Linked DNA regions of Solanum lycopersicum. Each later gene encodes a partner of the first gene's protein in a complex. Links are inferred from orthologs where the notes say so. Each region holds a gene or a part of one and is shown in the gene's direction. Other genes may lie near its edges. The genes, in order: protein TIC110, chloroplastic; protein TIC 20-II, chloroplastic; protein TIC 20-v, chloroplastic.

Evidence for each region.
Region 2: protein TIC110, chloroplastic (region 1) and protein TIC 20-II, chloroplastic share a complex: the UniProt entries of both Arabidopsis thaliana proteins name them as parts of the tic complex. The link is inferred for Solanum lycopersicum from reciprocal best matches to the Arabidopsis thaliana genes TIC110 and Tic20-II.
Region 3: protein TIC110, chloroplastic (region 1) and protein TIC 20-v, chloroplastic share a complex: the UniProt entries of both Arabidopsis thaliana proteins name them as parts of the tic complex. The link is inferred for Solanum lycopersicum from reciprocal best matches to the Arabidopsis thaliana genes TIC110 and Tic20-V.

What each region holds. Positions count from the first base shown.
Region 1 is NC_090808.1:26,796,376-26,800,039, forward strand, and holds part of protein TIC110, chloroplastic, read left to right. Parts: intron 1-2,809; coding exon 2,810-3,026; intron 3,027-3,664. UniProt on the Arabidopsis thaliana protein: Involved in protein precursor import into chloroplasts. Forms a voltage-dependent cation-selective channel at the inner envelope of chloroplasts, which specifically responds to a transit peptide.
Region 2 is NC_090810.1:3,715,866-3,718,507, reverse strand, and holds protein TIC 20-II, chloroplastic, read left to right. Parts: upstream 1-1,400; 5' UTR 1,401-1,437; coding exon 1,438-2,052; 3' UTR 2,053-2,125; downstream 2,126-2,642. UniProt on the Arabidopsis thaliana protein: May be involved in protein precursor import into chloroplasts. Not redundant with TIC20-I, TIC20-IV or TIC20-V.
Region 3 is NC_090811.1:6,212,337-6,215,375, forward strand, and holds protein TIC 20-v, chloroplastic, read left to right. Parts: upstream 1-1,528; 5' UTR 1,529-1,604; coding exon 1,605-2,198; 3' UTR 2,199-2,415; downstream 2,416-3,039. UniProt on the Arabidopsis thaliana protein: May be involved in protein precursor import into chloroplasts. Not redundant with TIC20-I, TIC20-II or TIC20-IV.

The sequences.
Region 1 (3,664 bases):
CCTTCTCTCAGTGAAGGATCTCCAACCCGAAATGAATAAGAAAGAAGGTATTTATAGGAGGAAATAGGGCAGACTTGGGGGGAAACATATGAGGGTAGAATCGGGCTAAAAAAGAAGGGCCAAAATTTGAATTTCCAAATGGAAATCTATCCAGAGCAAAAGCATATTCCCAATGATTCTTGCAATTTCAACAGATTGAAGGCGAGATTGAGGGGTAAGATCAACCCATCGTCCTTCGAATGCTACGTGGCTCGATCTTGAGGCCACAAGGACGAATTTGCAGCTGGAATCGGCGCTGGAACTGTACTAAGCGTACTGTATGTTGAGGGAAAGGAAGAAGATGACAAGAAAATAATACTGGGTACCGTTGTACGCGTCTGTCGATTGACACCATGTAATCCCCGTCTGTTGGCTGTGAAGACGTTAATAATTCGCTGTCTTGCTACCGTGTACTATTCCGTTTGGCTTGACGCCTTATAGTTGGTGCTTTCGATGGGATTAGAAGGGAAAAGGGAATTGGGTTGGGTCAAAAGGAGTGGGCTGGGATTTCTGGGTTTTGAAATTGATAACATGGGGGTGAGGATTTAGAAAGGATGAGAATTGTTGTTGGAAAAGGGGAATAAATGAATAGGGTCATTTTGAGTATTGGGCTGCAAAATAAAGGCCCTAAAGAGTGACAAAGCTATATTAAATAACTTGAAAAATATTTTGAATTTTACAAAGTTGGTTATTTCAAATAGTTTGGAATTTAAGAAAATCGAAAGTCAATTCCTATCATGGAGGGTCAAAATTAGGTGTCAACAAACGCAACATAACATCTAGGTGACATTCCTTTCTAAGAGTAGCCCTTGACCATCTCACGTGCAGTCAGTACATTATCTAAGATGTTTCTACCCTGGATGAAAGCTGACAAAGGACTAACAATATAGTCCACTACAGTTTTTAGTTTTGGCAGTCAGTATCTTGGCTATAAGCTTATACAGGGTAGTGCAACAATCTATTGGCATTTACTACATATGATGGTGCAGTTACCTTAGGCACAAGTGTGACTGTGGTTGTGTTTACACCTTTTAACTATTTACAATTTTCAAAGAACCGTTTCCTCCCCCTTATTATTTCTCAGAAGTTTTTTAAAATTCTGCAATATAACCATCAATACATGGGCTCTTGTTCACTGGCTTGTCCTTCAAGGCTTTCACCACATCCTGAGTAATCACGGGTTGCAGTAGCTGTTGTTGTTGTTCAACTGTAAGGCAGGGGTCATCTCGAGCTGTGCATGAGTATACAAGGCATGGTTGATGCATCTGGCCCCAACAAAGTTTGAAAGAACGGGAGAAACTCCTGTTGTATCTGTTCTGGATCAGTCAGCTTAGTCCCCTGTTCTGTGTAAATAGAGGATATTTTGTTCGTTGCTCGCCTAGCTTTCAGGTGGACAGATAAGTACTTGTAGTTCCTTCTGCATTAATACCCTTTCGTAAAGACTTCCCCATTTCTCAAAGGTCTGCACTGGTTTCCTCTCTCCATTGATCAAGTCTTGGTTGAGGAGGTGTGTTGCCATTTCAACCTGCCCCTCCTCCATTTCCTCCTGCACTTTCTGGAGTCTTTGCCTCAATTGGATCAATTTCTTTTCTTTTGTCGAAAATTTCCTGGCCTACCTGAAGATGGAGTAAGCTGAAGATCCGTCATATCTGGGCTAATCACTTCTTCCCAGTACTTCAGCCTACCTCTGCCTTTCCTCGTCCCCACTATATCCAACCTCACACATCTCCTCACTGAGGCACTTGTACATCTCCTCTTCACATGCCCAAACCATCTCAGCTTCCCTTCCCTCATCCCACACACCCATCTCAACATTCTCATTTTCGCCACTTGCATTTTCTGTACATGAGAGTTCGACTAGCCAACACTTTCCCCTTACAATAACGCCAGTCTGACCACTACTCTATAGAACTTTTACCTTTAAGTTTCAGTGGTACATTCTTATCGCACAAGACAACGGACGCAAGCCTCCTCTGCATCTATATTCCACCGATACGATGTGTGACATCATCGTTGATATCCCCATTTCCTTGGATCAGAGACCCAAGATACTTAAATCTCTGTTTGGGACAACTTGCATATCAAGTCTCACTTTTATGGCTGCCTCATGCGTCACATCACCCTTTGAACTATTGTGATCTTAAACATGCCATATCATTCCTAAAAATGGAGTGTCATTAAGGGTATAACTGTAATATTGAAATTTAGAACTTATGAAATATAGAAGCAATTTTCTTTTTCATATAGACTAAAAAAAAGAGTAAAACATGTATAAATGAAACAGAGAAATTAACTGATGTGGAGTAATTCAACCTTGTGGAATCTTGGTTTCTGGGTGAAGGCTGGTATAACTACAGATAACAATATCTGGTAATGCGATAATAGAATTCGTTGAATAGCTGCAAGCAGATCAGTTTATGTTCTTCTAAGGCTCTTTGCTTGCAAACCAGTCTATGTTCTTCATTATCACATTAAGGATTACCTTTAGCTTGTTTGGGGGAACAGATTTCTTATTGATGATGAGATGGTTTGTGGGTCTGTTTGGTCTTTAGACCGATACACTCGTAAGGTTTGATCATATGAATCCTTTCCTTTTTAATGAATATGCTCAATTGTTTTGCTTCCTAATGAGTTTTCACTTATGTTACATGCCATGGAATCATCCAGATGCTATAGTATTCTCTTGCATCTTTTCTCGAGGCCATTTGATTTGTTATTCTGTTTATCTTTAGTTATATCCTCTTAACCACAACTTTTCTTCCTCTTTTAGCTTGCTGCTTTGAACCAATTGAGAAATATATTTGGTTTGGGGAAACGAGAAGCAGATACAATCACATTGGATGTAACCTCAAAGGTATACCGTAAACGACTAGCTCAAGCTGTTACCAGTGGTGAATTAGAAGCGTTCGAAAGCAAAGCAGCCTATCTTCAAAACCTTTGTGAAGAATTAATTTTTGATCCACAAAAGGCTCTTGAGATTCATCAAGGTAATACGTGATGACAATGTGATTCGTTTTCTAATGTATTTTGAGTGACATTTCATACTTAATTGTTTTATCTGGAGAGGGAAGACATGGAAGTAGTCGAGTTTTCAGTTGCACACGAGGGAGTGCTAACAAGAACCTGTTGAGAATATCTGCTTGTTTTAGTTGGTTCCTCAGAGAGGAACAATACAAGTGAGGTTTTCAAGTACAAAATAACGACTCCAAATTTTGTTTTCTTCTGTATTACTAAAACCTCATCCTCTAGCAGTTCTTGAAATTTGAGGTTTTTTCGTTTTAAGCGTAGTTGCATAGAGTTGTTAGTTGCTCTCCTTTTGATAAACCCAGCAATTAGCTTTGCCATGAAGCTGGAGTGACAATAGGAGTGTTGTTTATAGCACCTTCAATGTCATCAGTTTGCTTATTGGCTAATAGTAATTTGATTTTATAATTGAACTTCCTAAAGCTAGTTCTGTTGGGTTGAGCTCCCTGAGGTCTCAGATTCAGTTGCCAGCAGAGACAAAACGTAAGGTGATTTTTCCATCTGTTCTAGCTTTGGTGGACAGAGTTACTTGGTAGCCATTGCTGGTGGGAGGTGTCTAGTATCCATAGAGTTAGTCGAGGTGCGCGCACACTGCTGCGGA
Region 2 (2,642 bases), on another chromosome or scaffold:
CTTCAGGCATTTGTTACTCAAAGATTGTGGCTTTTGGATCTTCCGAGAAGTTGCCTCATCGATAAAGGCCAGCGAATATAGGAAGTGAAACTGGAAAAAGTATATTGAGATATGTTGATATATCTTTTTTCAAATTATTGACCTACATTATGGCAATATAGTGTAAGCTAGTCCTGACTACAGTTTTGTATACTGCCACCCAAATGTTTTCATGTGAGAATAGTCACTTCAAGTTGCATTGTAGTAGATTTGGAATTTCCACAGTGTTGTTTTTGCTCTCATTTTGTGACGACATGCTTCAAACTTTCTTCGCAAGGTACGGGCAAGGTTGTGTATACACCATCCTCCTCAAAATCTTATTTTTGTCTCATAAATAATGAGCTACTCGGAATAATGTAGCGATGGTCCCTTTCTCTTTGACATGAACTTAGTGAAACTGAGTTCTCTGCAAAGATGCGGTGTAGCGAATGTAGGGTTGTTCAAAATTGATCGGAACCGATATTCCGTATCGAAAAAAAGTTATTGGTTTAGCGGTTTTGAGAACGGCTTTGATTTTTTTTTTGTTATCGGGTTATCTTTTGAGGTTATCTCTTAACTGGATAACTGATAATCCGATGGTTAATTAAATAATTATATTCATATCATTTTGCTTATAAAGTCCTTAATTTAGAGTTTGGTTTCCTACTTTTGTTTCTGATTGTCTCAAACACTTGGTTATTCTACGATGTAAAAGTGTTTGCTTTTGAGCAAGATGAAACTTGTGAATTCATGTGCATGGTTAAATTGGTTTGCCACCTTGTTCTAAAGTGATTTTCAATGTGTTTTTTTGTCAAACTTAACGGTTAAATAAATTATCGAACCGAACGATCAATAACTGATAAGCTAATCTTAATGGTTCTACAACCGTTTAGCATATCTACAAATCGATAACTAATAAGTCAAATCGATAAACTTCAAAGCCGAAGTGTTCGATATGTAGCCCTAACTGAACGGATAGACGATAAGACCCTATGTACCTCAACTATAACTTAAATGTGTACGATAAGTTAGAGATGGCAACACACAACAATCAATTGATTAATCCTGAACTTCACAACAACTTTAATCGAATGTACAGATGAGAGGTGGCAACACATAACATAACAACCAACTGACAAAGAACTTCACACAATCTTAATTGAACCTATATGATATTTGAGAGGTGGCGACGCACAACGAGCTATATTGAAAATTACTCGTTGATCAATCAATAATCCGTTGTAGTCTAGTTGGTTAGGATACTCGGCTCTCACCCGAGAGACCCGGGTTCAAGTCCCGGCAACGGAAATTATTTTTTTTCTAATTTTTTAATCAAAATAATGCATTACAACTTGTACCTCAAACAACAAAAATCCATCTTTATAAACACCCAAAAAAAACCTCACATTTCCCCTAAAAATGGCTTCCATTCCTCTTCTCCGTTTCACTCCCACTACTACCCCTCGTCTTCTCCCCCACCCTCTCAGCCTCAATTTACTCCAAACCCGTATTCAAACCCGAACCCGTATCCATACCAAACCCACCACTTCCATCTCCGCCTCTTACAACCCAATCCCCGCCACCGACCGCCTTATCTCCGCCGTCGCTTACTTTCTCCCCTTCTTCAACGGCCTTCAATACGGCCGTTTCCTCTTCGCTCAATACCCAACCCTAGCTCTTCCATTTCAACCAATTCTCCCTCTTCTATCACTCTACCGGTCCCTCCCATACGCTAGCTTTGTCACTTTCTTTGCACTCTACTTAGGTATTGTTCGGAACGAGAATCTGAACAAGTACCCCCGGTTCAACGCCCTGCAAGCGGTGGTGCTCGACGTTCTACTGGTGCTTCCGATGTTGATTCAGAGGATATTTTCACCGGGTCAATCGGGTATTGGGCTGAAATTTACGGTTTGGATGCATAATGGGCTTTTTGTGTTTGTTGTGGGCTGTTTTATTTATGGGCTTGTTTCTTCTATACTTGGAAAAACTCCTTATTTGCCTTTTGTTACTGAAGCTGCTAATAGGCAAATGTAGTTCTTTTTAAAATTTATTTAATATGTTGTTTTGTGGTTTTCTCTAATGAAAGGAAGGTTTTTGTTGCATAGAATTGTAATTTTAATGTATGATATTTTAAATCGAATCGTCGATGAGATGTTTCTCCATGAGAGATGCAATGGAAAGGGCTCGTAAAGTTCAAATCTTGATAAAGTAACTTCTTGGGATAAATAATAATATCTTGATTTTGTAATGGAATCATTACACGTTATACTTCACACCGAACAACTCGTAAATGTACTAGTAATAATGGGTTTTCAATAATACATTGTTTCTTTATCAGCTATCAAACGATCTCTAAGGAATATCAATGGCTTTTGTTGAATAGAGAATATAATTCCTTTGCTTATATCAACACTTTTCAAGGTTTGGTCTACATGCATATCATACATTGTCCTCCTCAGATCCCACTTGTGGGATTACGCTGACTATGTTGTTTCTGTTGTCGTAAGTTACATTGTTAAAGGGTTGAACTTCAACAAAGAATAATAAAACTACATTTTGTTCATCATGCAAGGCCAAAACCAGAATACTATCATTGACCAGAAAAACGATAGGGCTTCATAACC
Region 3 (3,039 bases), on another chromosome or scaffold:
TAGGAATGAATTGGATCCAGAATTTGTTAAGAGTGTTGATTTACCAAGTAGAAGAAAAAGTAAAAAGGTAAGATTTGATCCTGATTGTGTTGTAGCAATTTTTGAGCTTGGTATGGTATTTGAAAGTGTATACATAATTTTGTTCATTTCTTACTCTACTATATAAAGTCTCATTTTAAGATATTTCTATGCAGCTGGTACTTCAGGAGAAAAAATTATCAATTTGAGAGTTTATAAGGATGCAGCTCCAACAAATATTGATATTGGTTATAAGCCTCGAGGACTCAAGTGGAATGGTGGAGATGCTGTCACTGGTTCACAGTTGAAACAAATCACTTATTCAAGAAAAAACAAGCGTGGAACATCTAGTGCACCAAAGAATGCCTAATTTATGTAGAAAAATCACTTTTTGGTTGTGTAATTAGCAGCAGAAATTTGTATTGACTGCTTGAAACTTGAAGCTCACTAGAGCAAATTAATGGCATGAATGATCAATTTTTACTGCTTTTGAGGCATAAATTATCTACACTCCTTCAATTAAATCATTACAATAAAAACACAAGGCATTTACAATAGAAAAATCGATCAAAATTGTCCACAAAGAACTCTACAATCTACCATACATACTTTTATGAAGGAATCTAATTGAAGACAAATGAACCAACTAAGATCATTTTGTTACACAAATCCAAGTAGCCAATATCATCCCTACGATAATGCATATCATCCATATTTTTCTTGATCGATTCCTCTCCAATTCATATGTTTTGACTATTTTCGACAAACCCCATATCACCCTCCTAGCTTGAGCAGGCATTTCATCATCATACCATCGAAAATATCCACATCCACCTCGTGCCTACAAAATTAAAGAAAAAAATTGAATTATAAATAAGGTGATTCTTTACTATATTGGACAAAAAAAAGTGAATTTGATTTACCTTTGAAGTTTTGCAACAAAGGAATATACGTCCAGGATTGGATTGCGTCCATGAGATCTTCATTTTCACAACGTTCCCATATTGACATAGTACTTTCGCAGTTAAAGAAGAAGAAATCGATGAAGTAGATAAATTTGACATTGAAACTTGATGATTAAAAAGAAATCAATGAAAAAGAGATATAATATAATGAGCTAAAGAGGAGAAATAATGATGAAGAGAAACAAAAGAGGAGAAATAAGGGAAGAATGGGAGAAATTAGGATTAAAAGGGGGAAGAAAATCGTTGGTGGATGGTTCAAGATCCACATCAGCGCTTTTAAAGCGTCTGCACACGCTTAAAGGACGTGAGATCACGTTTGGCTCCACATTAGCCAAGAATATTTAAAAAGATCAAATTATAGGGGGTTAAAAGATTCAATAGGAATCTAGATTAGTTGAGGTAACTGGGAAAAACACGAACAACTTTAAAGACTTGCGTATGTATTTGACCCGTAGACATTTTTCCTCCAAAATGGATATGGAATTATGGATATTCAAATGGTATCAATGTAGCCCGACCCGCAATTCCATCAGGATTTTCAATTGACTGCTGACCTAATCCAATTTCCCCTTTTTCATTCTTTCTCCCCCCCAAAACAAATATCTTTGGCCATCCTCAACAATGGCCATCACCAATCTTTTATCCACCACCATTACACTCAAACACTCGCCATTTCTTCTACTGAAACCCTCAACAAAACTCAGAAACCCTAAAAGGCCAACAATTCGAGCTCAATCTAAGAACGACGACTCAGTAGATGGTCCAGATCGTTTAATCTCCGCCATAACTTACTTCTACCCTTTCTTTGATGGTGTTCAGTACGGTAAATATGTAATCACACAGTTTGCTCCAATACAAACACTTATTCAACCTTTAGTACCAGCTATAAGGGTTTTTAAGAGCTTTCCGCTTAACGGGTTGTTGGTTTTCTTTACACTCTACTTTATTGTTGTAAGAAATCCTAATTTTAGTAGATATGTCAGGTTCAACACTATGCAAGCTATTGTTCTTGATGTGCTTCTCATTTTTCCTGATTTGTTGGAGAGGAGTTTCAATCCAAGTGATGGGTTTGGGTTGGATTTGATGATGAGCTTTGATAGTACTGTGTTTTTGTTTCTTTTGGTATCTTTGGTTTATGGTACTTCGTCTTGCTTGTTGGGTCAGCTACCTAGATTGCCTATTGTTGCTGAAGCTGCTGATAGGCAAGTGCTATGAACTCGTAATTTTACTTGTTTATGAGGTTTCATCCTCTTTGTACACTTAATTATGTTTTGCTTTAGCTGACAATTAATATCTATTTCGTTCCGAAAGTAAATGTTTATGCTCTTTAGAGCCTTGTTCATGCATATCATTTTGCTGTTTCTTAATGTGGATATGTATATTCTTGTAATGGCATTTCGGTTTCTTTAATCAAGTAACTACTTTTTTTCTATGTATCTGCATTAACAAAAATATATAGAGGTATTTCTTTTTTATAACCGTAATGTCCTGGCGTACACCTCAACTATTTCATGGAATATCTTAACTGGAATTGTTCCAAGTGACTCTGCCCACTACAACTTAGGCAAATAGAAGATCTTATTGCCTCTGCATAGATTTGCACTTTCGTGTTGTGTAGTTTCGTTCCAGCTTCATGGACTTTGATGGCTTGCCATTGAGTGCCACAAAGGTGGTGATATTATCTACAAGTTCTGTCATTTTTTGATATGAAGATAGTTCAATCCCTATTTCTAGGTAACATGTTAGTTACATCACCATTCTTTTTTTTGGTTTTTGGATGAGGTAACATGTTACATCATCGGTATGTTGGTGTTTAAGGAAGAAATTCATGATCCTAGTAGCCAGTTGTATCATGATTTTAAGTAAGGGTCTCGTTTTGTATTATCTTGAAAAGGGCAAGTATGCAGAGATACACGGAAGTTAGGTATCAGGTTTTGATGTTATTCTTTGAGACAATTCGGATAATGTCCTCCACCCCAACCTAGAGCTTTCGCTAATTACAGAGACTTTGATGATTTACGTAAAGGTATTGGCATCTAGTATACACCTTCTTTAT